4 linked regions of the Diceros bicornis minor genome follow. The protein of the gene in region 1 binds, or shares a complex with, the protein of each later gene. Links are inferred from orthologs where the notes say so. Each region holds a gene or a part of one and is shown in the gene's direction. Other genes may lie near its edges.

Region 1 (7,236 bases):
CGGTTGTTCTCAGACTTAGCTCTATCCTTCCATGGTCAGGGCAGAAATAAGGTGGGGAGACCTCTGGAGAGCTGGAGAAGGTGGAGGCCTGGGACCTGGGCGCTAGAGCCCTGCAGCTCCTGGGACCACGTGGGCACAGGGGCCTGGCCTGAGGGTGCTCAGAGCCTGTCTCCTCTAGCTGGCCTGGCCCAGCCCTGTGGTCTGGGGGCTGGGCCCACCCTCAGGCCTTGGCTGGCGGTCTCCTCACCCCAGCAGCTGGATCCTGACAACACAGGCTTCATCGGTGCGGACACCTTCACTGGCCTGGTGCACAGCCATGAGCTGCCCCTGGACCCGGCCAAGCTGGACATGCTTGTGGCCCTGGCCCAGAGCAACGAGAGGGGTCAGGTCTGCTACCAGGAGTTGGTGGACCTGGTCAGTGTCACGGTGGGTGTGCAGCAGGGGCGGGGTCCCAGGCCTTGGCTGGCCAAGTGCTGTGCTGGAAGGCCGGGGTTGGGTGGGCAGGCGGCCCCTCCTCCCTGCCTCCCACTGGGGAGGGCTGTGGACGTTGGGCAGGGCCTCAGACCCTGTGAGGAGCTGGGCAGGCCACATGGGCAGGGCGGCTGTGGGTGTAGTACAGTGGCCCACGCTTAGGCCCCGCCCCCCAGATCAGCAGCAAGCGCTCAAGCAGCTTCAAGCACGCCATCACCAATGGACAGCGGGCACTGCCCCGGGACGGGCTGCTGGACGAGCCGGGCCTGGGTGTCTACAAGCGGTTTGTGCGCTACGTGGCCTATGAGATCCTGCCCCGAGAGGTGGACCGCCACTGGTACTTCTACCGGCATCGCAGTTGCCCACCCCCGGTGTTTATGGCCTCGGTCACCCTCGCCCAGGTGGGCCTGCCCACGTGCCACCTGGGAGCCACCCATGTCACTGGCTTGCCTAGCCCTAATACCCGTCTCCCCCAGATTGTCGTGTTCCTGTGCTACGGGGCCCGCCTCAACAAGTGGGTGCTGCAGACCTACCACCCCGAGTACATGAGGAGCCCCCTCGTGTACCACCCCGGCCACCGCGCCCGGGCCTGGCGCTTCCTCACCTACATGTTCATGCACGTCGGGTGAGTGAGGCCCCTCCAGTACCCCTGTGATTGAATCAGGAGGGCTCAGCCCCTTTAGATGAGGCTGTGGGCTGGAGGCCCGACAGCTGACCTCACTCCTCGCACCCGTTTGCCCCCACATGGCCAGGTTGGAGCAGCTGGGGTTCAACGCACTCCTGCAGCTGATGATCGGGGTGCCCCTGGAGATGGTGCACGGCCTGCTCCGCATCAGCCTGCTCTACCTGGCTGGCGTGCTGGCAGGTGAGCAGGCGTGTGTCCCCTGGCCACCTTGTTGGCAGGCCTCTCTCTCACGGCCCCCCTTTGTTCACATAGGCTCCCTGACCGTCTCCATCACTGACATGCGGGCCCCTGTGGTGGGGGGCTCCGGCGGGGTCTATGCCCTGTGCTCAGCACACCTGGCCAACGTCGTCATGGTAAGGGGGCAACCACGGGCAGGGTGTGGGGAGGGGCAAACGAGGCCTGCCTCATGGCCTTTCTGTCTCACACCCCACAGAACTGGGCTGGGATGAGGTGTCCGTACAAGCTGCTGAGGATGGTGCTGGCCCTGGTGTGCAGTGAGTAGGGGGCTGGGGGGACTGGGGGGACTGAGCCTATGGCCAGGGTGCCTCCCACCTGCTGCTTCCCTCTGCAGTGAGCTCCGAGGTGGGCCGGGCCGTGTGGCTGCGCTTCTCCCCGCCACTGCCTGCCTCGGGCCCGCAGCCCAGCTTCATGGCGCACCTGGCGGGCGCTGTGGTGGGAGTCAGCATGGGCCTGACCATCCTGCGCAGCTACGAGGAGCGCCTGCGAGACCAGTGCGGCTGGTGGGTGGTGCTGCTCGCCTATGGCACCTTCCTGCTCTTCGCCATTTTCTGGAACATCTTCGCCTACGACCTGCTAGGCGCCCACATCCCCCCACCGCCGTAACGGGCTTCTGGAGCTACACAGGCCAGGGCGAAGGTGTGTGTGGGCCAGCCACCAGGCGGGCCTGCACATCCGCCCTCCGTGAATGTACGTCTCAAGGCTGCTGCTTCTCCCCTGTGGGGCGGGTGGCCCCTGTGGCCCCAAGTCCAGGCTGAGCCTTACACCAGCCCTGGTGCCCCCTCCCAGGCCTGGGGGTGTAGGACTGTTGGGCTGGGCCTGGTGGTGGAGGTCCCCAAGGGTGGCCCCAGAGGAGACCCTGCCTCCCAGCCTCCCCACCCAGGATTTGCGGTCTGAGCCTTTTTGGAGAATGAATAAATATTTTACACAGCACCAGGTGGCTGTACCAGAGCTCTGGGGGCTGGTCTGGCCTCCCCCCACTTGCTGAGCAGACCGTGAGGGCCCTTCCCTCCATGCAGGCGGCCTGGGCTCCCCCTTGCTCCCTCCACCTGGTATGAGGTGTGTTTGTAGGAGGCAGGAGGTTCTGGGGCAGGGCTGAGGGTCTCACCGTCAGGGGAGAGCTCAGCAAGCATTTACTGAGTGCCTACAGCAGCTGGCTCCTGCTCTGCCAGCTGGCCAACCAGAGACCTGTGGCCTGAGGTTGCGCGGCAGGTGAGCAGGCCCTGGGCCACAGCCACGTTCAGTCAGCCTGGGTCCTGTGCTTCTTGGCTGGCCTAGTGCCCTCAGGGGTGGCTGGGCCAGGGCCGAGGTTGGGCAGCAGGTCGGGGCACAGCTTCTGCCTCACAACCCAGGTCCACAGTGCTGTCTCCACGTGGTGAGGGGTCCACACCCCTGAGGTGCTGCCTAGGGAGGAACAGGAGGAGTCTGGGGACCAGGGGCCCTGGCCTCCCTCCCCTGCTGGACAGCTTTGCACACTGCCCCTTCACTGGGTCCTGGACGTCCTCACCTCTGCTCAGGGCTGTGGCACACTCCCGCCCCCCACCCAGGTACAACATGTAGTGCTTGGAGAGTGTACTGCAGAGCTAGCAGGCCAAGCACTGCGGCCACTGCCTCGTCGGAAATGAATGCTGCCTCCTCGGGGACTCCAGCAGCAAGGACCGCTGTGGATAGGAAGGGCCAGCACTCAGCCTCTGCCACTCTTGGGACAATCTTGGCGTGGGGCTGCCATTCCCAGTGACTGCTGGTGTCATGGACATGACCATCTGTCCTTTTTACAGACAAGGGCGCTACCAGGCCAGGTCCCGCCCGCGACCCTGCTGGGGCGCCCAGCTCTCCCAACTAACCCGAGGCGGTGGCGGGGCCCACGCCGCGGAGGGTGCACAATTCTGTGACAATTCCCTGACCGCTGCCTGCAGGTCCGGCAGCAGGCGGAAGGCGGTGGCCGAGCGCTGCAACACCAGCTCGGGGGCATTGGAGGTCACGAGGCGCGGCCGGAAGCGGCCTCTCTGGGGCCAGGCCAGATTGTGGGTCACGGGTGGTGGTCCTCGCCAGGGACCCCCACCCCCGCCGCGCCCCGGCCCGCGAGGCTCCGCACCACGCCATGAGGACCTGCTGCCACAAGGGAGCCGCGCCCCACGCCGCGGGGACTCGGCCCCCGAGGAAGCCGCGCCCACGCCGCGAGGACCCGCCTCCCGGAGAAGGCCACGCCCACACAGCGAGGACCCGCCTCCTGGGGGAAGCCACGCCCCATACCGCGGGGACCGCCCCCAGGAGGAGCCCAAATCCCGCGCCGCGAGGACGCGCCCATAGGAGGAGGACACGCCCCGCCGAGACCCCGCCCCCCACGTGAGAAGCCCCTCACCACCAGCTTCCACGCTAGCAGCCACTTTAGGTCATCTAGTGTCACGTGCTTCTCTGCGCGGTCCTGGATGGCTGCGGGCAACTCCACTCGATACCTGGGGAAGGACGGTGACGGGGAGTTCGGGCAGCGGGAGTCGCCCGCCCTACCGACCCCTCCCACCGGCCTACCATCGATCCAGGGCTTCCAGCCGCCCCTGGGAGTCCGGGTGGGCCCGCAGCACCTCCCCGTGGCGCGCCAGGATGGCGGTCCAGAGATTCGAGTCCTCACAGCCCCACAACCCGCGGGCGGCTGCCATGTTCGGGCGCCGGGCCGGGGCCTGGGAGAGTCGGGGGCGGGGCCTCGGAGAGTTGGGGGCGGGATCAGGGAGAGTCGGGGCGAGCTTCTGGAAGAACAACCCCTAAACGCGCGTGGCTGAGAGCATCTAGGGCCGCCCTCGACGATCACGCAGACTTCCGACGCCGCGGGTTGCGTCTCCGGGGACGCACTCTGCCGGCCTGCCCCGCCCCCGCAGTGTGTCGGGCGCACGCGCGGCCCCGCCCACCCGCGCGTGTCTGTCCGGCCTGCGGGCCCCGCCCCACGCGGCCGGAAATTCCGGTGGCGGATCGGTGGACCCGGCCCGAGCGCATCGCGGGCTCGGGCTGCGGGCGGGCGGCCGGGCCGGGCGCGGAGCCTGGGAGCGGAGCCCAGGCCGTGCCGCGCGGCGCCATGAAGGGCAAGGAGGAGAAGGAGGGCGGCGCGCGGCTGGGCGCCGGCGGCGGGAGCCCCGAGAAGAGCCCGAGTGCGCAGGAGCTCAAGGAGCAGGGCAACCGGCTCTTCGTGGGCCGCAAGTACCCGGAGGCGGCGGCCTGCTACGGTCGCGCCATCGTGAGTGTGCCCGCGCCGGGGGAGGGGCCGGCGTCCGGGCGGAGAGGGGCGGGGCCGCGGCTTCGGCTCCGAGTCCTCCCGCAAGCCCCTGCCCGGCCGCCCCCGCCGCTCCTTCGGAGGATTTTGGCTCTTCCGGAGGGCGTTTGGGCTTTGAGGACTCAGTGATGATCTTGTTCCAAAGGGGCCAAGGCCGCGGCTCTCCAGCCGGTGCTGGTTGCCGGAGAACTGTGGCGGGTGGGAGCTTCAGGGTGCTTGATGCCCGTCGGGCGGGGGGCCAGGGATCCTTGCCCCTTGAGGACCGCAGGCCGAAAGCTGGGATCTCCCTAAGTCTGGGAAACTTGCGGTTACAAAACCTATTGGAGTCAAGAGGGTGGGCTCAGATAGGCTTCGGGGCCAGCACTCCATCTCCACCAACTCTCAGGACCCAGGGACTTTGAGGCTGAGAAATCTCTAGTGTCTTGATTCCAGCTATGGGCCACAAACTGGGATAGAGGGGGCAGGCTGAGCTCACACCCTCATGCTGGCTGGCCCTGCCTTGGTCCCCAGACCCGGAATCCCCTGGTGGCGGTGTATTACACCAACCGGGCACTCTGCTACCTGAAGATGCAGCAGCACGAGCAGGCCCTGGCCGACTGCCGGCGCGCCCTGGAGCTGGACGGGCAGTCTGTGAAGGCGCACTTCTTCTTGGGGCAGTGCCAGCTGGAGATGGAGAGCTATGATGAGGCCATTGCTAATCTGCAGCGAGGTGGGCCTACAGGCTTGGCTGGTTATGGGGGTGCCTGAGAACAGGGGGGTGGACTGGCCAGAGGGTGACATGAGGCCCCCATTCCCCAGCCTACAACTTGGCCAAAGAGCAGCGGCTCAACTTTGGAGACGACATCCCCAGTGCCCTGCGCATCGCCAAGAAGAAGCGCTGGAACAGCATTGAGGAAAGGCGCATCAACCAGGAGAGCGAGCTGCACTCCTACCTCACGCGGCTCATCACAGCTGAGCGTGAGAGGTAGGCTGTGGTGGTGGCAGGCTCCAGGGCACCCTCCCCAAGTCACCACTCTGAGATCAACTCTGAGTCACAAACACAAGTATTTATTGAAGGCCAACACTGGCAAGCAGGAGACAGGAGATGAGGTCTGAATAAGCCCGAGGTTGGCATGCACTCTGACCTCTCCTGGCCAGACCCATCTCTGACCAGCTCCTTGGTCGACTTCCAGGGAGCTGGAAGAGTGTCAGCGGAGCCACAGGGGTGATGAAGACGATGGTCATCTCCGGACCCAGCAGGCCTGCATCGAGGCCAAGCACGTGAGGGTGCCCTGGCCCACGTGTGGGTCTGTGTGTGCATGCATGCAATGTGAGGGTGCTGCTGGTTCCTGTTAGGTGTGTGTCTGCGCCTGGGGAAGGGAAATGGAGTGTTTACCCCACGCGTAGCTGCTCGCTTCTTCACAGGACAAGTTCTTGGCAGACATGGATGAGCTCTTCTCCCAGGTGGACGAGAAGAGAAAGGTGTGCTGTCTGTTTCCTGGGGCCTGTGGGTAGCCGGAATCAGAGCAGTGTCCCCTTCCTGCTCCCTGACCTGACCTGTGTGTTGCAGAAACGAGACATCCCCGACTACCTTTGTGGCAAAATCAGCTTTGAGCTGATGCGGGAACCCTGCATCACACCCAGCGGCATCACTTACGACCGCAAGGACATCGAGGAGCACCTGCAGGTGAGGGAGGACCAGCGGGTGTTGGGGGCAGGGCCTGGATCCACTGACCACCTTCTGACCCTGTTGTCACTACAGCGCGTGGGCCACTTTGACCCTGTGACCCGGAGCCCCCTGACCCAGGAGCAGCTCATCCCTAACCTGGCCATGAAAGAGGTCATCGATGCATTCATCTCCGAGAACGGCTGGGTGGAGGACTACTGAGGCAGGGCCAGTGCAAGGGCCACTCGCCCCGCTTTGCCCGGTAACCTGGCCCTGGAGGGCCTTGGGGCAGTAGCCCTGGCCCCTGTACAGAGTTCATGTCCCTGAATTCTTGCCCCAGTGTCCCCATGCCACTCTCCGTCAGTTCTGATGCTGGGCCATCAGCCTCCCCTGTCCCCTTTCTGGGCTGGAAACAGCAGGTGAGGGTGGGCTGGGCTGGGCTGGGCTGGGCTGAGGCTGCCGCTGCCACCACTGTCCCTGTAATAAAATATGTGAGCACTATAGGGGCACGTGCTGGTGCGCGATGGGCCCACTGGCTAGCTGAGGAAGGTAGAGATGAAGACACTGGTATCAAGGTTGAGTGTGGCATGCCACCATCGGTCAGGGAAATACAGCACCTGGTGGGGATAGGAGGGGGAACATAGGAGTCAGGTGGGGGCCCTCAGCCCAATACAGCCTGGCCCCCTTCTGCCAGCCACTGACCTCACCAGCTTGGATGGTGCACTCCAGGGGCCGCGCAGATGGTGCCAGGGCTGGGTATGTGTCCCGGAACCAGGCTAGCGTGGTCTTGTTGGGGTGGAACTCTGGTGTCTTCTCAGGGGGATACAGGAACCAGCGCTAAAGGCAGGAACAGCAAGGTCACTGTCCACGTTGTCAGTGAGCCCCAAGCCTCAGCTCCGACCCTGTGCTGACCTTGCGGCCGTAGATCACCTCCGA
Region 2 (6,975 bases), on another chromosome or scaffold:
ACATCATTGGCAGGGCTGAGTTGTGATCTTCCACAGCAGCCCACTGCTGCCCTGTTTCCTTGGCATTGAGAAAAATTATGTGCACAAAGCTTTGCTTCTGAATTGTAGCTTTTCAAATTTTTTCCTTGGAGACTAAAGGGACTAAGCCATTGATTCACTTATTATATTTATTGAGTGCCTGGTTAATAGCATGGGCTCTAGAATCAATTGCCTAAATTCAGATCCCACCCCTACAAAGCATGAGCTTTGTGATACTGAGCAATTACTTAGCATCTCTAAACCTTAACTGGTTCACCTGTAAAGGGGGAAACATAATACCTACCCATAAGGCTGTTGAGAGGATTGCTCCAGATTTGGTTGCTCAGGAAGCAGACTGTGAAACAGAAGTTAGCAAGCAGGATTTTATGAGGGAATTCTCTCAAGAGTAACACCAGTAAGGGGAGAGCAGGAAGCAGGAACGGGCAGAGGGAGTTGAGAGGGGTTGCAGTTCCATAGAAAGCAGCAGCCAACCCCAGATGGTGCTGTGGAACTGGGAGACCACAGGAGCCGGATACTGAGTTGGACCAAAAGGGCCGGGCCCTCACGCCCCTCAGTAGATCAGCCACTGGATGCAGGCTGCCCCAGGAAGGATGTGCAACCCTGGGCAGGGCAGTTTCCTTCAGCTGAGCCAATCAGAAAGGACAGCTGAGATTGGTATTCCTGAGTATTCCCAGCAGCTGGCGGAATAAATCCTTCATTCCAAAGGGAATCACAGCCTCCGCCACAAAGATTAAATGAGATAATCCACATAAAGCCCACAACACAGAACCTGGCATGTAGTAAATGCTTATAAATGGTAGCCATTATAATTGTTGTTGTTTCGGGCCGGCCCCGTGGCGTAGCGGTTAAGTGCACACGCTCTGCTGCTGGCGGCCGCAGTTCGGATCCCTGGCGCGCACCAATACACCACTTGTCAGGCCATGCTGTGGCGGCGTCCCATATAAAGTGGAGGAAGATGGGCACAGATGTTAGCCCAGGGCCAGTCTTCCTCAGCAAAAAAAGAGGAGGATGGGCATGGATGTTAGCTCAGGGCTGATCTTCCTCACACACACACACACAAAAATTGTTATTGTTTTTATAACTGTTATTTACCAGGCACTGTGCCAGAGGCTGGGGACACAGTGGCGATCAAGATTCTGCTCCTGCCCTCAAGAAACTCAATCCATAAGCAAATCAGCCCATCAAACAAGCAATTGCAATGCAGTGCTCTTGATAGGGTGGCACAGGATTTGTATGGGAGCATCTAGAAGGGACACATGACCCCGATTAGGAGGGTGAAGGAGAGTGATGCCAAAGGTGATACCTGGAGATGAAGAGGACTCAGCTGGACATAGGGAGTGGGAGGCATTGGGGGTGGGGGAGAAGGTGGAGGAAGCAGTGTGTGCAGTTGAGAAAGTGCAGTGTGTGCCTGCTAGAGCTCAGCAGGGCCACGACAGAGTGTGCACCAGGGAGAGGGAGGAGGGTCTTGTGTACATCAGGCCGAGGAGCGTGGACTTGGATACAGAGAGGGCAATGGGAGCCATTAAAGCATTCTAACCAGAGAAAGGACATGGTCCATTTGTGCTTGAAAAAGGTCGCTCTGGCTGCTACGTGGGCAATGGATTGGACATGGAAAAGACTAGAGGCCGTTGCCAGGGTCCAGATGAGAGATAAGGGTGACCTGGATCAGGTTGGTGACACTGAAGAAAGAGAAGACTGCACAGAGTCACGGAATATTGAGGAGGTGGAATCTACAGAACTGGTGATGACTGGATGGTAAGAGAGAAAGGGGATTCCAGGGTCGTGTTTAAGCTTTTGATCTGGGCAAATGAACTCCAGAAGGCCTGGTGTCTTAGTGGCTTCGGGCTGCTATAAGAGAATACCATAGACTGTGTGGCTTACAAACAAAAGAAATTTATTTCTCATAGTTCTGGAGGCTAGGAAGTCCAGGATCAAGGCAATAGCGGATTTGGCGTCTAGGGGGGGCCCTGTGTCCTGGTTCATAGATGGCCATCTCACTGTGTCTTCACACGGCAGAAGAGGTGAGGGAGCTCTCTGGGGTCTTTTTTATATGGGCACTTATATCCCTCCCATTCACGAGGGATTCACCCTCATGCCCCAGTCACTGCCCAAAGGCCCCACCTCCTCATAGCATCATATTGGGGAACACGTTTCAACAAATGAATTTTGGAGGGACACAAACATTCAGTCCATAGCACCAGGGGAACTAGTGTTTTAAGACCTAGAGGCAAAAAAAGCCACCAATGACAGACATGCTCCCTGTTACTCAGCAGAGCTCAAAGGAACTTCTGGCCAGCTCTCTAAGACTTATGGCTCCATTTTAGACAAAACCATTTGAAGCCCTTGGTGGAATACAGCTGTGAGAAGCAGCTCTGTTAATCCCAGAGGAACCTGCTTCTGTCTAGCAAAAAAAAAAAAAAAGCCAGCAAAGAATGCTCTCCGTGTTTAAACTCTAATTGTAGTGGAAAGCTAATTGAGCTAAGGAAGAAGAGAGAAATAAAAATTCACTTTGGATTCAATCTTCAACAAACATCAGTATTTATTGAATATGAACTCTGGGCCCAGTCCTGTGCTCAGGGCTTCAGAAATAGGGAAGAATAAGATAGATACTGACCAATGAACTTGAGGGTCCAGCTCCTTCAAAAGCAATATTTCTTATGGTAAAAGAATGCACTGGCCTTTGGGTTTATACATCAGTCTCCTGTGTATCTGGTGACCTGAGTCAGTCCCTGGGGCTTAATCACCTCTGTGTTTCTACAAAACTGAATTTTTGGACTTCAAAGCTGACACACAGACCTACGTAAGTGGGAATCATTCCATCGGAAACAATCAGCAGGCCTCTCTAGCGTTTGCTCCAAAAGGAGTAATTTGAGGGCAGGAAGAGACCAAAGGTGCTACTGAGGGTGCCAGGGTATTCTCTGAATTTGAGTTGGAAAATTGGACCCCATATTAGTCCAAGGCAACATCTCAAATGTTTCTGGGGAAGGGAATGAGTCTGCATGCCTAAGGATCTAAAATAGAACCTCCCAAACGTTCTCCCTTTGGGGTACCTTCTCTCTCTCCCAGAGGAATTGGGATGCTCTCTTGAGGTTACAAGTGCAACCACCATTGAATCCACCAAACAAAAAAATTTCATGATTCAATTTGGTCCCCACTTCCCAAATGAAAGTCAAGATTTCAGATAGCAAGAACCAACCTCTACCATAAACAAGATCAAAACCCCACAGGATGTGATTTTTCTTTAAAGTCATCCACTGCCATAACAGTTTCTATATTTGAGATATGAGGTTCAGGAGCATAAAGCCTGAGCTGATGCAATCTTTCTCCCTTAGGTTTCAAAAGGCAGCAGGTGAGTTTCCATTGGCACTTCCATTTTCTCCCTGGCTTGGTTATGGTGTCAGATCAACATTCCAGACCTCCTTCTGGACGGCCCTTGAGCCCGTGAAAAAAAAGTGATTAAAACGTAACTGAGGGACGCCTGTGTCCCCGAGTATCAGTATACGAAGGAGCAAAGGGGGTGGGTGGGCCAGACTCTAGTTTAAAACCAACGACTTTAAAGGCGAACGATGGATGACTTTGTTTTCATAAGCAGCAGCAGCAGCAGCAGAGACCCCGCGCGCGGACTCCGGGGTCCGGGAACAGCCACGCGGCTCCAAGAAGAGGGAGCGAATCTGAAAACCGAAACCGGCCCAGGACACACAGACGACGGCCCGGGGCTCGCTCGTCCCGCCGGCCTGCCGCAGGGGCCACCCAGCCCGGGGCCACCCCCGCCCGGGGACAGCCACCCCCGCAGCTGGGCGGGGGAGGAGGGGAAAGCGTGGGGGAGGGGCGGCAGAGCTGAGGCCCCGCCCCCGCCCCGCCCCGCGCCGATTATAGCCAATGACTCAGGGCGGAGCTCCGCATCCAGTCCGCGCCGCCGCCAACTTCTCTGGATGGGACCAGAAGTTTCTAGCCGGCCAGTTGCTACCTCCCTTTATCTCCTCCTTCCCCTTTGGCAGCGAGGAGGCTATTTCCAGACACTTCCACCCCTCTCGGGCCACGTCACCCCCTCCTTTAATTCATAAAGGTGCCCGGCGCCGGCTTCCCGGACACGTCGGCGGCGCGCACGGCTCTCGCTCCGGCCGCAGCCAGGGAGCCACTCGGCGCCTGGAGACCCGGCACCCCGCGACCCAGCACCCCGCACCCCGCGACCCGGCGCCGCGGCGGCCGCCCCTCCGGGCCGACCCCGACCCAGCATGAGCGCTGCCACCCACTCACCCATGGTGCAGATGGCGTCCGGCAACGGCGCTGGCGACCGCGACCCCCTGCCCCCCGGCTGGGAGATCAAGATCGACCCGCAGACCGGCTGGCCCTTCTTCGTGGACCACAACAGCCGCACCACGACGTGGAACGACCCGCGCGTGCCCCCCGAGGGCCCCAAGGTGAGCCAGGCCCGCGCCGCGCCCCGCCGGCGGCCCCCTCGACGGCGAGGGCGAGGGACCGGGCCGGGCTGCGGGGACGCGAGGCGCCCGCGCCCGGGCCCCGGAGGGCAGTGAGGGCCGCCTGGGACGCGCGGACACCAGCTCCCGGGGAGTCGGCCCGCTGCGCCCTTACCAGCCCCCTTTCCGGGCCCGCCCTTGGCCGGCGTCGGGGCGAGGGGGAGGCCCCGGAGGGCACTGTCCTCCCTGGGCCGCATTTGGTTTCCGGGGGTCGGCCCGGGAAGTGCGACCCGCGCGGTGGCGCCAGGTCCGGTCCACCAGCTCGATTCGAGGGGCCGGGAGGGGCGGGCGGCCTCGGGCAGCGCCGAAGGCCCGGGCCAGGCCCCGCCGCGGCCTCCGCCGCCGCCCGGCTCGCCGGCCTGAGATCCCGGGTTCACTCTGCTGATCGCGCTTCGGCGGCCGCCAGGGGCCCATTCGCAAGCCCGGGTGGTGGGCCCTTAGGAATTTCACGTCCTAAACTTCCTCCACTTGGTTGAGGGGTATCTTGACTTGGCTCTCCAGTCTGAGGAGCAGAGTGACTCAGGAGAGTGATGTAAATACATTGCCTTTTTTTTCCCCCTTTTCTGTGTTTGAAATTAAAATTGTATTATTGTTCGAAACTGTTTTCAATAAGAATATATTCTAGTATGATTTGTTAAAAACAAGATGCTGTTTCCCAGGCAGTTTCTAAACTAAATACGTGAGACTGTCTCATAGTTGGCCATTGCCTTACGACATTGCCTCACACTGGCGAGAAAGAGAATGAGTTTTTTTTTTTAATGGCATGCATTCCCTTCCTTGTTATGGTATGAGAATACCTAGGATTTGTTTCTAATACACCAGTAACTGAGTAGTAATACCTTTGTGAATACAGCGGAAGTATGCCTCATTTACGTATATGCAAGGATATGTATTTTTTAATCCTTAGGAGGATGAAAATTTGAGAATATAAATTTGGAATGAGTGTTAATTTAAAAAATTATAACTAATTGTACTACTCTTGTAATTTACCATAAATTTCAGCTTTTTCAAAATAAAAAGCTTGGCAGGAAGAAATATACTTAAAGAAAGAGTAATGTTATGCTGCCTGGGCGAAATAAAAATAAAAGCTGTAAAGAGCTGGTAAGTTATTTTGAAGATTTAAAAATTCACAAAATTAAAAATGCTGTTTGTCGTTATTTTAGAAGAAAGATACGTATTATCCACCTTCATTTTTATGTGCTTTTTTCTTAAAAATACTGTTAACACTGATGTCCAACAGTGAGACATCATATATTCAGCAACTTACATTTATAAGAAATTAATTGTATATTTATTTCTGAAAATTAGTACAAGAGGCTGTAATTAGCTGGGCGGGGCGTGATTATACCTTCTTTTTTGTGTGTCTGGTCAGCCCATTATTGGGTGAAACTAATGCTCATTTCAAACCTGCCCTGGTACTCTCATCTGCATGGATGTAGATCTTTAGTGTGGTAAAAAACTATTCTTTGGAGGGATCCTTTCTATAGAGACAGGAACAGTCAGAATTTGCTGGCATCCTTGGTTTTGCATTCAGAAGATGGTTTGAACGTATCCACTGTGAGTGCAGTACCAGACCCAGATTTCCAGTACTTTGTTTTCAGTGTGAAACTCCCCAGCAAGTTGAGATCTTCCGGTACCCATCCGGTGGATGGGTGAGGCTGTGGTTTCATTAACCCTAAGGAGGGAAAGACAGGTTGAGTTACTAGTATTGTTCTTAACAAGTAGAAAATAAGACTACTAAACCAGAAGTCTGACGCTGGAAAAGTTGATTTGAAAATCGAACAGTCAGAATTTTAAAGTTGAAAGGTCCTTAAAGATCTTTTAGTTCAGCCTCTTTATTTTACTGAGAAAGAAACCCAGTGAGTTCAAATGTGTTTCCAGAGGTCACTCAGCTAGTACTAAAAGCAGAGGGAGAACTACACCAGGAAGTCCTAATAAGAGGCAGTGTATCTGTTCAGAAGAAGGTAGAAGTGTCTTGAATTTTTATGAAACTGTGAAGCATGTGGGCTGGAATACTTGATTATTTTTTGTGTCCTCCAGACCACCAAGTATTGGGTGGCTGACTTCTATGCTGTGATTACTTGGATGGTGGCTGGTTATGATCAACTCAAGAAAAAGAGTTCTCTTTACCAAATTAACTACTTGAGATTTGTCAGCATGGCACCAAAACATAAGGAGAAAACATTCAGTTCATTAGCTCTTTGTGCTTCATTGCTTGCAACCTGTGCTTTGATACAGAACATGTGGGTGACTAATTCACTTTCACTTATATGGATTACACCTCACTCCAGACTAAATACAATGGAAAATCCTTGAGTATTACTTTATATTAGAAACTGGTTTCTTAATGTATAATGAGGAAAGGGCCCTGGCTTAAAACAAAGGGTGGTTTTGGAGGAGCCAAGCCAAGAGGACCCTCAGAGCATCATTACCTTCAGGAAGAGATGCTGTCAATCAG
Region 3 (7,550 bases), on another chromosome or scaffold:
TCACCCCAGGCGGCCTCCAGGATCCCAAGTGTCAGTGTGTTCCTCGTGTCATTTTTCTACTGAAAACATCTGGAAGGGCTGGAAGAATGTTCCAGAGAAGGAGGACCAGTGAGAAGTGAAGGGAGAGGGGCTGGCGACCGCCTGGGGTCAGTTATCGTCCGTGGGGTCAATCTGGGTTTGGAGAGCCGGCGCTCTGGCAGGGCATACAGTAGGGGCCGGGGGCACAGCTCGCTGGGCAGCAAAGATCTGACCCCGTGCCTTTACTTGTCCACATAAAATGGGGTTAACAGTATACTACTGCCTCACAGGGTTGTCATGAGGGTTAAGAGAGGTAAGGCATTTAGCAGAGCTGGCGCATAGTAGGTCTCAAATCATAGTGGGGCGCATCACTGTTTTGTCGTTTCTGTTGTTATTCATAGAATCAGGCTGTCATTAGGAACGCAGAGTCTGGAGTCAGATTGCCTGGATTTGAACATCAGCTCTGCCTCTTAGTAGCTGTGTGACCTTGAGCAAGTTATTTAACCTCTCTGTGCCTCAATATTGTCATCTGTGAATGGAGAGAATAATACCTATCTTAGAGCAATTTAGGTGAGGATTAAATAAGTCAATATATACAAAACACAACCGGTACAAAATGATAAATCTTTGCTATTTTTATTGTTATTATGATTATCATAATTATTTATAGAGGTGGTCAGGGGCTGTGAGCCCTGGAGAGAATTTTGGAGACAATATTAGGAGGAAGATAGAGCTCAATAAATAAGGTTACCTACCTGCACAGGATGGTGAGGACATCGACTTATTTAGGGAGGGACCCTGTGGGTTGTTTATTTTATTTATTAATCATCTGTTTTTGTACGGGTGTGTGGCAGAGAAAAGAGCACTGGGCCTGAAGTTCAGACACACCTGGGTTCAGAACACACATTGGGGAAGTCACATCATACCTTAAGCCTCAGTTTCCTCCTCTGCAAAATGGGGATGGTGATGGGCCGAACCTCCGGGGAGCCTGTTGTGAAGATTAAACGTAAACATGTTGGGGAAGCACTTAGCTGGGTGCCCAGCACCTTCTAAGTACCCTGGCAATCTTAGTGAATATTCTAACGCTGTGACCGTGTGCAGAATCTGTCACGTGTGAGTGAGCAGTTCAGACACAGGGTTGCTGACACAACATCATCCACTCGGCCAAGATCTGCTGAGCTCCTGTAACGCACCAGGCACCCTTCTAGGCATAGGGGCTGCTGCTGTGAACAAAACACACAAGGGTCCTGCCGTCACGGAGAGAATGTGCTGGAACTCCATTAGAGTCATCCATAGAGGGTCTGAGAACAGGAAGGGAAAAAGACCTGAGCACGCTCACCTCCTACTTGCTGGAGGATGCGCCGGGCTCTGGGGTGTCCAAGAGAGGGAACTCTGAGACAGGTCTTCCTGGACCTGGAGCCTGAGTGAATGGGGGAGGCCACCAGGATCTGCCCCCATGCCGGAACAAGACTTCCAAACCCCTATAATTGTAGATAAAACATTAGTCAAAAATAACGTCCAGAGAGCCACACCTTCGAGGGATTCAAGGAGCCCCTCCCTTCAGCCCTCACAGACCCTACCCCTCTAGAGTTAGGGAAGGGCCTGCAGGTGAAGGGCTGTGAGGCTGGGGAGGAGGGAGCTTGGGGTCTTGCTGCAGTGGAAAGAAAAAGCACGGAATTGGGCAACTGACAAACCTGTGTCTTTGCCCTGGCACTACCTGTGTGACTTTAGGCTGCTGCTTATCCCCGCTCAGCCCCCGTTTCTGGGATGCGGGGTGATGTCACCCTCCCTCTGGGCTGTCTGTTTGAGGACTAATAATTAATCGTGTACTTGCCGAGTGAAAGCTCCAAGAGAATGGCAGCCAAGGAAACCCTTGTTCTGGGACCTGGGATTTAACGTCCCCCTCCTCCTGCCCCTCACATACACCCTACCAGGGTCTTTCCTTCCCTAAGAGAGCCAGCCTGGAGGAGGCTCCTTCCCTTCCCTGGCCTCTCCCAGGCCTGGCCCCATGTTTTCACCTGGCCGATGAGAGCCATGGGGTTTATCGACCACTTTCCACGTGTGTGTTAGCTGACTCCTCCCCGGGTGGCTGGGTCAGCAGGGCTAGCAGCTGCCTCCCTCCTCAGCTTTCCAAATCAGAAGGCTGGCCTGACCCAGAAACAGTGGGACAGCAGGTGTGTGGGAGGATCACTGGACACAGCCTGGGCTACACAGTCCTATTCTGGTTATTACCCTGGGCTCCCAAGTCCCGCTGGCTTGGGTTCGAATCCTCAGCCAGCTGTGTGGCCCGGGGCAGGTGGCTTCACCTCTCTGAACCATGAGGATTCAATGCCGTCATGAATAACAATGCTGAGCACAGGACCTGGTATACAGTCAGCGCTCAATAAATGTGAGCCATGACTATGATTATAAGAGGCAGTGCAGCAGAGGGATCAAGTGCCAAACTGCCTGGGTTCGAATCCCAGCTCTGCCACTTAACCAGGTATGTAGACATGGGCACGTCATGTCATCTCTCTGTGCCTCAGTTTCCTCATCTGTAAAATGGGAATAATAAAATTTCCTTCCTTGTAGGGTAGCAGGGAGGACTAGATGAGTTAACATACGTAAATTTAAAGTGCTTAGAGAAGAGCCTGGCACATGGAAAGTGCCAGAATCAGCTAATGCTTGCTATTTCTGTTTTCAAGCTGCACACCTCCCTTCCTTCCTACAGGCCTCAATGCAAGCATCCTTGAAATGAGAAGGTGATGAGGTCATGGAGCTTGTGTCACCCGCTTCCTCCTCAGGCTCTGTGGGGTGGAGGGGAAGCCAGGAGAGGAAGGAGAAGGAGGGTCTTCTAGAACACATCCACCAGCCGACTCACCCATAAGTAAACACAGCTCCATCCACACATAAACACACTCACCGCTCCACCCACTCCAATCAAAACAAACTCACTCCGGGCCAAGCCACCTCCAGCCCAGCCCACCCACTCAGAAGCCTCACCCCACCCCAGCCCAGGTCCCAGGCGGGGCTGGCTTTCTCCTCTGTGTCACCCTGTCATTCTCATCCTGGCTCCAAACCCAGCCGGCCCCGCCCCAGCTGTAATTACAGAGAGAGCTGAGGCTTCTGTGCCCAGCGTGACGTCAGCCTGAAGCTTCTAGCCTGATGATCTCACCCCGAGTCAGTGGGGGGTGGGGGGCGCCTCAGTCTCCCTCTCTCGGCTGGAGGGGGAGGGAGGCGGGGGTCTCTGTCAGTCAGCTCAGCATGGATCTGAGATTCAGAACAACCCAGGTTCCCACCCGGCCCTGCCACCCCAGAGCTGCACGCACCGGCCAGTGCTCTGAGCCTCTGTCTCCTCACCTGCAAAATGGGGGTGGTGATAAGTCTCTCCTCATTGATGTGAGGGTTTAATGCCATAATGTCGTGCTCACCTGCCACCGCAGTGATAGGTACATAGGAGGCAGTACCAGATGGTGACTTGCTTTCCATACTATTATTTTTAGAAAACTTTCTCATGGAGGCGCTGCTTAACTTCAAAACGATTTCTCAACCAATGACTCACTGAATTCCTTAACACCCCAGCCCACCCCACCCCCCGAGGAAGCAGGGCTGAGACCCTGAAGCCCACAGAGGGATACCGGCATGCCCCGAACGGCCCACCTGTTGGGGACAGATCAAAGATTGGAACCCCAGCTCAAGGGACCTTTAAGTCAAAGGATGATTTATAGATTCATTCTCCAAGCCACGTGGGAGGGGCGGGGGAGTCTAGAAAACAGGTCCTCTCTGGGCTTGGAGTTTCAGGCCAGACACCATGCCTGGGTACAGCACGTTTTGATAATTATCATTATTTACAGTCATAATAATAATAGAAGCTGGTGCTCGTTGTCACTTCCTGTTCCATCATCCCCATCTGTAAAACGGAGATAATAGTAGTAAGTTTACCTCTTGAGATTGTTGTTGAGGATGAGCTAATATTTGTAAAGCATTTAGAACAGGGCCTGACATACAGCAAACACTATGTAACTGAGAACTCAAAATTGAAAATATAACGGTGTCAGTCTGCTAAAGGCTTTGCTAAATTGCCTCATGTCTTCCTCAGCACACACCCCTGAGGAGGCTACTCTGATGTCCATTTTGCAGGCGGGGAAACTGGGAGCTCATAGATGCGTGGGGAATAATGTTACTCTCCTCTGAGGACACTGAGGTGAGCTCTGAGAGCTTGTAAGTGGGGATTGCAATCCAGAGCCATCTGCCTCCAAACGCACGGGGCTCTGTCTCTCTCCTCCCCATCTGCAGGTCCCCAGGGGGGAGGCAGGATGCAGGCCGGCTGTGGGGAAGGTATTTCCAGAGGGTGACCTGAGCCCTCAGCCGGACGAGGGTTATTAATAGGGCCCTGCCCGGGGAGGGCGGGCTCCGGGGGACGAGGGAGGGCGGGGCTGAGCCGAGCGTGGGGAGGAGAGAGTCCGAGAGGCTGGCTGAACTTGGACGCAGACGCCCCTCCCAGCCCCCCGGGAGCCCAGCTGTTCCCTCAGCGGATTCTCTGGGGCTGCTTCATCACCTCTGAATACTCCTGTGACAGGAGGCACTTGCAAAACCCGCCTCCAGTCCCTAGCCGCAATAAATAGAAGGCTCCCAGCCCAGGAGGAGCGAGAAGCTTCTAGGCCTGCCTCCCTGGGTTTATTAAGCTCCTGGCTCCACTTGAGACCTCAGCGGCTCTGGCTGCCAGCCTGTGCGGCCTGGAAGGACAGAGACCGGCTGCTCTCTGGTGAGGCAGCACGGAGAGGGGCCCTCTGGGATTCTGCTGGACCAGCTGGGGGTGGCCTCTGGTGGCTGGAGTGTCTTTGGGGCGTGGGAGCCCAGCCTGGTGTGTGCCTCCGTCCCTGGCAGTGGATGGTTCAGCGTTTTCTAAAGCTGAAGAATAAGCTTGGAAGGCCAGCCCACCCACATCACCTTGCTGTGTGACCTTGGGCAGGTGGCTCCCTCTCTCTGAGCCTCCGTGTCCCCTCCAGCTCAGCAGCCACCATGGCTGATGGTCAGATGCCCTTCCCCTACACAGGCCGCCTGCGCCGAGACCCCTTCCGAGACTCGCCCCTGTCCTCCCGCCTGCTGGACGATGGCTTTGGCATGGACCCCTTCCACGACAATTTGACTGCCTCTTGGCACGACTGGGCCCTGCCTCCATTCTCCTCGGCCTGGCCGGGGACCCTGAGGTCGGGCATGGTGCCCCGGGGGCCCACTGCCACAGCCAGGTTTGGGGTACCCTCCGAGGGCAGGAGCCCCCCACCCTTCCCTGGGGAGCCCTGGAAAGTGTGTGTCAACGTGCACAGCTTCAAGCCAGAGGAGCTGATGGTGAAGACCAAGGATGGCTATGTGGAGGTGTCTGGTGAGTAGGGGGCAGAGGAAAAGGAGAGAGAACCCGGGGAGGGAGGTGTAGACTTCAGCCCTGGGAACAGCAAGGAGGACACTCGTATGGGGAAGCTGTGACAGCATGACACAGGTGACTTCAGGGCTCAGGAATGTGGCCACAAAAGTTATCTTTATAGAAAAGCTCTCCTCTCCCGGCTTCCAGCAGAAACCTTAACCTGACCCAGCTGCTGGGGCCTTTGGGTGCTGTGTCAATCAAAATCCAGGCAGGAAAATGTAAACCACATCGGAGATTTTGACAGAGAGAATCTAATCTAAAGAATAAGTTAAACAGAGAAGGAATAAAAGACAAGGAAGAAATGGGGTTCATTGCACCCCAGCATCACAGCAGTCTAGAAGGCGTGTTTCATGCTGAGCGATGATAATGTTCATACCCAGCACAGCTTTCAAGAGAAACGCCTCCCCTTGTCCCAGAGGGAAACTGAGGCATAATAGTCGTTATAACAATACTAAGTGGTAACCTTGATTGAGTGCTTACCACCACGCAAGGCGCCTTACCTGTAGCATCTTGGTTAATACAACCAGAGGTGGATCCTGTATGTCTCCTCTTTTTTACAGATGAGGAAACCGAGGCACAGAGACGTTAAAGTAACTTGCCCAAGGCCTCCAAGCATTCAAACCCAGGCTGTCTAGGAATCAGGAGGCCGGAAGCAAATTGATCACATACTGAGCACCTAGACTAGGTGCCAAAGGCTGGACTAAAACTCGTATTCCTTGTCCCGAATAATCCAGCAGAGGTGTCTAGTCCCATTTTGCAGCTGAGGAGGCTGAGGTTCAGGTGGACCCGTCCAAGGTCACGCCATGAGTCAGCAGCAGGAATTTTCTGGGCCTACCCAGGACACCAGGCCCAGGGCTGCTGCCACCACTTCCCAGCCCCGGGGAGGAAATGCTCTGGAAAAAGAAAAGAGGAGACAGAGGCTCGGTGCCTGGTAAGCAGGGCAGCAGAGGAAGAGCTTTCTCTCCCTTCCCTCCCGATTAACGCTCCATTAGGAAGAGCATGTTCCTGGCAGGCTCCGCCAGCCAGAAGATCAAGGCCATTGCAGACACAGGCTGGGCAGGGACAAGCCCCGGCAGGCAGGCAGCGTTGGGGGAAGTTTCAAAGCCTCGCAGGGCAGAATTATAAACATCAGAGGCTCCCGAGGAGGTGAGCCAGGAGGCACGCTGGGGCCACGTGCAGAGGGAGGAGGTCAGCCAGGGCTCCCCGAGCCAGGCAGGAGTTCTCAAACTGGCCCCACCACGAACCAGCAGGCTGTGCAAATTACGTAACTTCTCTGTGCTTTGTTTCCTTATCTGAAAATCGGGTTCAAGTAGCGACGCCGCGTAAGGATTGTTGTGTTAAATGACGTGATGCGTGTAAAGTGTGTACGTAGTGCCTGGAACACAAGGGATCAGTACTGTTATTGTGGTTGATGTTGTTGTTGTTAAAATGCCAGGCACATAGTAAAGACCCAATAAATCATAAATGGTAGATGCTGTTTGAGACCTGGGTTCAAATCCCGGCACCGCTGTTCCCTCTCCGGATGGATACACAGAAAGTCTTTTCACAGCTCCCAGCCTCAGATTCCTCATCTGCATAATGGGGATCATAATAATAACTCTCCTGCAAAGCTGTAAGGAAGATTAAATATATGCAGACAGTATATGGTAATAAATGCAGAGTGTCTGTAAAATGGAGCTAATAATAGGGCCTGCCTGGCACTCTGTAAACAAGGTGATTATTATCACCATCCTCCCATCTTTGTTTTAATTAGGGTTCCAGAATCTTCCACTCTGGGTTGGAGGATTGCCCATCCTCCAGGTTGGAGAGCCCTGTGGCCCCTCCAGGAGACCTCTGTCCAGCCTGGAGGGTTTTTCTCCATCCTCCTTTCTAAGTGCTTCTTAAAGTAGGGTCTGGCAGCTCCAGGCTGAGATCCCAGCTAAGTACCTTAGGAATCTGGAGGCTGTGAGTGAGTCTCAGAGCCTCAGTTTCCACATCTGTAAAGTGGGGTCATTGGGGGCTTAAATAAAAGACAGACAAAGCCTTTTTTGGTTGTAAAATCCTCACAGGTGTGCACTTAGCAACCTCAGCTTGACAGAATCCAAATCCCCTGAGAGTACATACAGAGACTGTCGTAAAAGAGGTTTAAAAA
Region 4 (7,602 bases), on another chromosome or scaffold:
CTCTCTGATTTGCCAGCCCTAGGTCACATGCCCACTCTTGGAATTGGGGATGTGGTCAGCTTAACCCAATCATATGTACTGATAGTGGGAGAGATATGACTTACCACAAGGAAGGAGGGGATATGTACTGTTTTCAGAGGAAGTAGGGGATACATGCTGGGTAGGTTGATCTACTGGACTCACCCATTTGGAGATTTTAAAATGCACCTGCCTGGCTTCACATCCTCAGTGTATCTCCTTTACTTTTAGGATGAACTTCAGATTCCTTACCAAGACCTTCATGTTTCTACCAACCTCTTTGCCCCCATCCCAGTTGGGCTCTGCCTTCTTTGCTGTGGTCCAGCCACACCGGCTCTAGTTTGTATCTGATTTGGGTTGTGCTCTTTTCTGCCTCAGGGTCTTTAAACATTACTATAGACTGAATGTTTGTGTTCTCCTAAAATTCATATGTTGAAATCTTAACCCCCAATGTGATGGTATTAGGAGATGGGGTGTTTAATAGATGATTGGGTCATGAGGGCAGAGAAATAAATTTCTGTTGTTTATAAGCCACCTAGTCTATGGCACTCTGTTATAGCGGCCCAAACTAAGGCAAACATGCTGTTTCTGCTGCCTAGAACTTTCTCCTCTCTTCTATTTCCCCACCCTCATACTTTTGCTTAGCTCAACTTAAATGTCATTTCTCCAGAGAAGAATTCTTGATTTCTCAGAGTGAGTTAGATCTGTTAACTGATCTCATGGTCTCCCCTGTTCTTTTTATTTATTTATTTATTTAAATTTTACTTATTTATTTATTTTTCCCCCAAAGCCCCAGTAGGTAGTTGTATGTCATAGCTGCACATCCTTCTAATTACTGTATGTGGGACGCGGCCTTAGCCGGAGAAGCGGTGCGTCAGTGCACGCCCGGAATGCGAACCCCGGGCCACCAGCAGCGGAGCGCGAGCGCTCAACCGCTAAGCCACGGGGCCGGCCCATGGTCTCCCCTGCTCTTGTCCACAGGACTGATCACAATTCTAACAGTTACTGATTTTTATAATTATCTGTCAGCCCTCCCCAATGGACTTTATGCGCCATTAAGTCACGGACTGTGTTTTGTTTACTACCTTATTGCTAAACCCTAGTTCCTGGCACAGAGTATGGCACATGGGAATAATTTGATGCATATTTGTTTAACGAATGAATGAGTAAACAAATCAGGGTTTAAATGCTGTCTTAGTCAGCTTGGGCTGCCATAATGAAATACCATAGACTGAGTAATTCAACAACAGAAATTTATTTCTCACAGTTCTGGAGACTGGAAGTTCCAGATCAAAGTGCTGACTGGTTTGGTTCCTGGTGAGGGCCAGCTTCCTGGCTTGCAGGCGGCAGTCTTCTTTCTGCCTCACACCTTTCTGGGGGCGGGTGGTAGGGAAAGCAAGCTCTCTGGTCTCCTGTTATCAAGGCACTAATCTCATCCTGAGGACTCTATCCTCCTGACCTCATCTAAACCTAATTACATCCCAAAGGCCTTATCTCCAAATACCATCACATTGTGAGTTAGGGCTTCCACATATGAATTTTGGGGGGACACAATTCAGTCCATAGCACGTGCATTACCTCATTTGATCCTTGATAACCCCTTGACATAGGTTCCACTTCAGGATGAAGAAAAGGAAGCTTAGCAAGTTGAATCTGTCCAAGGCCACTCAGCTAGGTAGTGACAGAACTTGAAATTTTCAAACCTAGGAATATTTGCCTTAAAATGCAACTAAAGATTTTTTTGCCTCGTGAGGCCCCTGAGGCATTATCCTGTTTGGTTTTGAGCCATTTGGTCTGAAGGTAAATGTGCAAGTGTGTGAAGCAGGAACACAAAGGGGAACTGAGATGGAGAGGAGTCCGTACAGCAGATAGCAGGAGAGCACCTGGACACTGAGGGAAAAGATACTGAGAAGGGGCTTCATCCTCAGGAAGAGACCAGGGAAGTAGTCTGACAGGAAATTGGACCCTGAAGGGTTTGGAGTGAAGTTTGGGATTATGATGTCAACGATCATCAGGGAAAGATTTGACTCATCTTCCTTCACCCTCTCGGCCTTGTTCCCAAGTCCCACACCCTTTTGCTGGCTCTGACAGGTTTTCCAGAGCAAGAAAAAGAAGAGCAAAATAGGAAGGGCAAAAACAAGGCAGCCCCTACCTTCCACTGAGGCAGTGGGAGTTACAAAGTTCTCTCTGTTGAATAGGTCTTAGAATAAGAACATTTCTCCCACACAGAACCAGTGTTAAGATAAGGGTGAGGCTCTCACAGTCCTGGGAAGTCTAATTAACTCATGATGATCTGGAAATAGCACTAGAAACAATATATCTCAATTCAGATAACATTTATTGAGCTCTTTCTCTGGAGCAGGAACTGTGGAAAGTGCTAGAGATTTAAGGAGCTGTGTGTGACTTCCTCTGCCCTTAGGAAGATGTCAGCTATGTGATGATTTAGGTACTTTGGGGCACCAGCCCCTTATCTTGGTGACTGCTTCTACAGAAAGGTGAATTCTCAGTCACAGCACACAGGGTGTTGGCCATGCCCGGAACACACTGACCTCCCTTCCCCTTGTTCCCTTTTCTCATCCTCCCATTTGCAGCCACGCCTTCAGAGTGAAGCCTCTGGCCGCCTGGTTCCTGCCAAGAAGGAAATTCAGGAGCTTGGCCTACCCAGTGCGCTGGAGTTGAAGCCCTGAATTTGACTATTAAATAGCCATTTGGCCATGAGAAAGTCATAGCATCCCTGAAACTAAGGAACAAATTACATCCTCCTTGGTTACTTCACAGGGTTCTTGGGGAATATTAAATGAAATGTTATGTATGTACTTCATAAACAGTAAAGTGTTACATAATGCAAAAAATTGTGCTGATCCTCATAGAGTTGATTAGCTGGAGGGGGCCTTAGAGATCCCCTATCGCCATCCCATATTTACTGCATGCCAGGCCTTCTTCTAAGCACTTCACATCTATTAATCCTTTAATCTCAGAGCAGCCCAGTGGGGTAGATACTATTATGATCTCATTTTACACATGAGGAACAGAGAGGTTAAGTGACTTGGCCAGGGTCACACAGTAAGTGGCAGAGCTGAGATTCAAAGGCAGGCAGTTAGGCTCCAGAGCCCATTGTTAACCACCAAACCAAGCCACCTTCTGTGTGCTTCCTTAGCACCCTCTGTATACTCCCTCTGGGAGCACTTGACAGAATTACAATTGCTTGCCTTAGTGATAAAAAAGCTACTAGAAGGCAGGGATTGTATCTCATTCACACATACATACACATACACACCCCCCCCCACACCCTTGCACAGTGCCTGCCACACAGTTAGAGCTCAGTAAATATTTGTTGAATGAATAAATGTCCTCTGGAGAGATATACAGCAAGTCTGATACATCTACTGTGTTTTTCCTTCATCTTTTTCTTGGCTAACTATGCTCATTTCCCTCAACCATTTTCAATAGGAGATTGGCATTTCTCATTGTCCTCATTGTCCTGCATTGCACTTTCTCAACTTCAACAATGACCCAGCTAAAGTCAACTGCCAGGATGTAAACACTGTACTCGGAGAATAGTCTGACCAGCGGTGGGGCCTCTATGACTATCCTTTTCTGCCCTCACAGTGTATGCTCAATATTCAGGACTCTCTCAGGAGCCCACTCTTACCCCTGAACTATTTGAATGCCTGGACAGGTTCTTGACTATGAAACCAAGTACCCAAGGTGACCCTTAGGACTTTACTAGTGGTCTAGGCAGGTAAGGGGAATTCCTTCAACTCTTGCCGCCGCCCACGCCACAGCCCTCCCGTTCCCTTTCGTGGGAGGAGCTGTAAGAAAGCGAAAGAGATTCCTTAAGGTCTTAACGGAAGAAAACAGGTTATGGTCGATGAGAGAGTTGGGGCAGGAAACTGCATCTTCTAATGTGGAATCGAGAGAATTTGTCAATTTTGTTTCACGGTATGAATACAATTGAGTTTTCTTGTAAGAAAAAAGAAATCAGCGTCATTGGCCTCATATATTGGACTATATTTAATGAGATGATGGGACAAGATGTTTGAATTTGGACGTTTTGAAAAGTCCTGTATTATAGTGGACAAAAGTATCTGCGGTTTGCCTGTTGGGCTCCTCCAACTGGGAAAGTACAGACTCTCGTTCTCATCACAGACTGAAAAAACTGACGAAAAGCGAGATTCGGTTATTAGATAAACTGGCAATCACACGCACCATGAATTCTCCATTCCACCCAGGGTTTTTATTTTTAGTTGTTTGTTTTGGTTCGAGATTACTTTCGGGAACTAAGTGCCCCACCGGACAGTCCGAGCTCTGTTTTTGAGTCGGGGTCAACGCCTCCGGCCCGCAGAGCCACTCCCTTTGCGGGTAGGCGACCCATTTGCGGGAGGGCGGGGCCCGGCCGGCGGGAGCGCGCGCCCAAGGCGTCGTCGGGGGTGGGAGCGGAGGAAGGCAGGCGGCCTGGGAGCGCGCGAGGCCTCGCGTGCGCGCTCCCGCCCGCCAACCCGCGCGCCCACGCGCCCGCCTGCACTCCCGGGAAGTCTCGCGATGCCGTAGGCGGCTGCTCCCGCTGCGGGTAGCCCTGGCTGTTGCTGTGGTTGCCTGAGTTGCTGCTGCGGCGGCGACGGCGGCGGCGGTGGAGCTGGTGGAGGTGTCGGCCCTTGGGCGGATGTTGACATTGTGTTGTTGTTATTGCTGACGGTAATGGCGGCGGCGACGGCGACGGCCGGGACCCCATCTCCTCTGTAGCCTGAGCCGAGACGGCCAAGAGCGAACTCCGCGGCCTCCGAGCCCGCGGCAGCGACTCCCCTCAGCCTCCGCCGCCTCGCCAGCCCGAATCCCGGCCCCGGCTCCTGGAGGCAGGCCCCTTCGGGCAGGGGGCCTCGGAGGCTCAGGATGGCGGATTTCGACGAGATCTATGAGGAGGAGGAGGACGAGGAGCGGGCCCTGGAGGAGCAGCTGCTCAAGTACTCCCCGGACCCGGTGGTGGTCCGCGGCTCCGGTCACGTCACCGTGTAAGGCCCGGAGGAGGGCGAGGGCGAGGACGGGAGGTGCGGGGCTGGGGTGGGCCCCCTTACTCCTCGGGAGCCCTCTTCCCCGGTGTCTGCCTTGTGTCGGGGGCCTTCGGGAAGAGGAGGCGACCAGGAAGTGAGAACTTGCAGTATTTTTGTTTGTTTAGGTCTCCGAAGTGGAGACAGACGCTGCCCTTCCTCCCCTACACACCCCTCTTAGCAGGCCCTACAGGCCTGGGATGGTGACGGATCCCAGAAGAGAAGGTTTTTCTCTGGAGTCTGCCCTTCGGGCCACCCCTTCAGCTTCGGGGTGAAAGTACACGTAATGAGGTGCCTCCCCCTTGTGTTCTCATCCAGTTGCCCTGTGGTTCTCTCGTCTCGTCTGTGCCTTTGAGCCTGGTGACATATGGCTCAGAGGCCAGATCTGGGCCGTTAGAGACCCCAGTGACAATCGGTCATGGCTGGTTCATTGCCGTTCTGTCTGTTTCACACATACCCACAGGTCTTCCCAGTTTCCTGCAGAGTCAATTTCTGCGGAACTAATGCAAGTTCCTGTAATTGTGTATGATAAAAATGTGTAGATGAACATGTATTTAAGATATGCAGAACGATATATATTTTTAAAAAAATCTAGGTGATGGACACCCTCTGCTTGGGTTACTGGGGGTTGGGTTCTCTGTAATCTAAGTCCCTCCTTTGGGCATGAACTCTGGCATGGCTTCTTCATTTGATAAGGGTTCCTGTAAGTCCACTTAGCAACCTTTAAAAGTCGATATTATCCAAATAGGGAATGATAGCTTTCCGAAAGGTTATGACTAATAAAGGAATGTGAAGACTTGAACCAAATAATGAGCTGTCCGGAAGTAGGAAGTTTTGTAATGTTTCTCCGAGAAGTCGAGTTTTGTACAACTTGAAGTATTTATACTCTTTTTCATTTTAGAGCTCTTGTTCAAATCAAAGGGTCAAACCTCCATGCTTGTCAGATATCTCCACACTTCACCTTTTGGTTAAAATAAAAGGGCCAGCAAGTCTGAGACTGTTTGGAACAGTTTTCATTATATTTTTGGTATAGGGCGAGTGGGATGTGCGGTGAATAACTTTTAGTGAAACAGTAAGACTTCTCATATGAGATCCTATGTAAGATTGTCAGCAAAATTCTTGCATTGCCCAGTACATGATATGACCAGCCATATTGTTGTTTGGGTATCCTTATGTAATGCTTTGATTTTCTTAGCATCTGTTAGTTTATATTCAGGTGACTTAGGGTAAAAACACTGCATAATCACTGTCATAGTGCCATGAGAAGACAATGGAATTTATCACCACAATAACAGTTACTTAGTGTTTTAACTGTCATCACCAGCAGAATTAAGAAATATAACCAAATATCATGGATATTAAATCTTTCTTTAATATATATCACAGAACTTTTTTACTCTCATAGCCTGCCATTTAATTTTTAGTTTGGCGCTTAGGACGTTTTTACATTCTTTTAAACCTAAGGAGTATATGGGTGCTTAAAGAAGGGATTTTCAAAGTTTTTCATGTTATCTGCCCACCTTTCCCCCTACATTCCTCGTGTCAAAGAAAGCTGGCGAAGTTTTATTGTTTAGAAAGGTGCAGCTGTAGTTGTAATGTTTCCTCTGTTGAAGGAAAAGAAAAGCTAAGCGCTGTTGGGTAGATGGAAAATGTCGTAGGCGAAGTGCTCAGAACCAAATAGGTGATCAGTAAATTTGATTGTAGTTGGCTACTCAGAGAGGTTAACAGGATGGGTGAGAATTACAGGTTCTCAATCTTAGCTTCCTGTTAGAATCACCTGGGGAGCTTTAAAAAAAAACCAAAAAACAAAAACCCTGTCTTTGCCCCAGGCCAGGACAATTGAAGGCCAAGTATCTGAGTGAGTGTCCCTGGCATGGATGGTTTTTTAAAAAGTCCGACAAGTGATTCTGATGTGTAGCCAGGAGTGAAAACCACTATTCCAGAGTATAACGAGGAATGAGGAACTAGATGCTATCAGTAAACAGTATGCCTTTTTACATTGGGAGTTAATATTTCTGTGATCTCCTCAGCCACTTCCCTGTCTTCCATGTTACCTTGGTTCTAGGCTCTGGGTTCAAATCTATCCTCTGCCACTTTTTGGGTAAATTATCTATGTCTCTTTCAGTTAAGATGAAGATAGTATAGCACCTAACTTTTAAGGTTATTAAGGATTAAATGAGACAATACATTGCAAAGAATTCATCACATTGTGTGGTACTGTGTTCAATAAATATTAGCCTTTATTACTTTATTAATTATCCTCCACACCTGTAGTGTTCCACTTTGAGAAACATACATGTAAAGCAAAGTACTAAGAAATCTGAACTGCTGTATTCAAACCTAACAGTGATTCACTTTGGTCTTATTTTTTCATTTCTAAGCAATTTATATGAGGTTAAATTACTATGTGAAGTATTTTGGTGAGAATTAATAAGAATCTTTCTGCATTGAAAGCCTAAGCCTGTTTTGTGATGACATAGATAAGTATAGTAATCGTAATGTAAAACTTGACATGACTCGGTCATGCATAATTCACAGG

Evidence for each region.
Region 2: STUB1 (region 1) and BAG3 share a complex: the UniProt entries of both Homo sapiens proteins name them as parts of the chaperone-assisted selective autophagy (CASA) complex. The link is inferred for Diceros bicornis minor from reciprocal best matches to the Homo sapiens genes STUB1 and BAG3.
Region 3: STUB1 (region 1) and HSPB8 share a complex: the UniProt entries of both Homo sapiens proteins name them as parts of the chaperone-assisted selective autophagy (CASA) complex. The link is inferred for Diceros bicornis minor from reciprocal best matches to the Homo sapiens genes STUB1 and HSPB8.
Region 4: the proteins of STUB1 (region 1) and CHIC2 are in contact, whole or in part, in a crystal structure (PDB 8SUV), measured with the Homo sapiens proteins. The link is inferred for Diceros bicornis minor from reciprocal best matches to the Homo sapiens genes STUB1 and CHIC2. Residues at the interface, in NP_005852.2 of Homo sapiens: Lys30, Asn34, Phe37, Tyr49, Val61, Asn65, Leu68, Leu71, Val94, Lys95, Phe98, Phe99, Gln102, Arg128, Asn130, Phe131, Gly132, Asp134, Ile135; in NP_036242.1 of Homo sapiens: Leu156, Pro157, Lys158, Thr159, Pro160, Ile161, Phe162, Arg163, Pro164, Asp165.

The regions. Positions count from the first base shown.
Region 1 is NC_080765.1:47,639,440-47,646,675, reverse strand, and holds STUB1 (E3 ubiquitin-protein ligase CHIP), read left to right. Parts: upstream 1-4,392; 5' UTR 4,393-4,460; coding exon 4,461-4,619; intron 4,620-5,165; coding exon 5,166-5,364; intron 5,365-5,453; coding exon 5,454-5,619; intron 5,620-5,827; coding exon 5,828-5,915; intron 5,916-6,059; coding exon 6,060-6,116; intron 6,117-6,204; coding exon 6,205-6,522; 3' UTR 6,523-6,718; downstream 6,719-7,236. Other genes in the region: RHBDL1 (rhomboid-related protein 1), read left to right, coding at 253-426, 648-1,096, 1,224-1,509, 1,590-1,650, 1,728-1,999; uncharacterized protein LOC131422050, read right to left, coding at 2,634-2,797, 2,901-2,976, 3,298-3,399, 3,456-3,849, 3,923-4,050; JMJD8 (jmjC domain-containing protein 8), read right to left, coding at 6,837-6,917, 7,003-7,137, 7,213-7,236. UniProt on the Homo sapiens protein: E3 ubiquitin-protein ligase which targets misfolded chaperone substrates towards proteasomal degradation.
Region 2 is NC_080745.1:82,420,012-82,426,986, forward strand, and holds the start of BAG3 (BAG family molecular chaperone regulator 3), read left to right. Parts: upstream 1-3,968; 5' UTR 3,969-4,274; coding exon 4,275-4,460; intron 4,461-6,975. UniProt on the Homo sapiens protein: Co-chaperone and adapter protein that connects different classes of molecular chaperones including heat shock proteins 70 (HSP70s), e.g. HSPA1A/HSP70 or HSPA8/HSC70, and small heat shock proteins (sHSPs), e.g. HSPB8.
Region 3 is NC_080774.1:15,958,440-15,965,989, forward strand, and holds the start of HSPB8 (heat shock protein beta-8), read left to right. Parts: upstream 1-4,545; 5' UTR 4,546-5,019; coding exon 5,020-5,380; intron 5,381-7,550. UniProt on the Homo sapiens protein: Involved in the chaperone-assisted selective autophagy (CASA), a crucial process for protein quality control, particularly in mechanical strained cells and tissues such as muscle. Displays temperature-dependent chaperone activity.
Region 4 is NC_080747.1:42,073,616-42,081,217, reverse strand, and holds the start of CHIC2 (cysteine-rich hydrophobic domain-containing protein 2), read left to right. Parts: upstream 1-4,592; 5' UTR 4,593-4,908; coding exon 4,909-5,027; intron 5,028-7,602.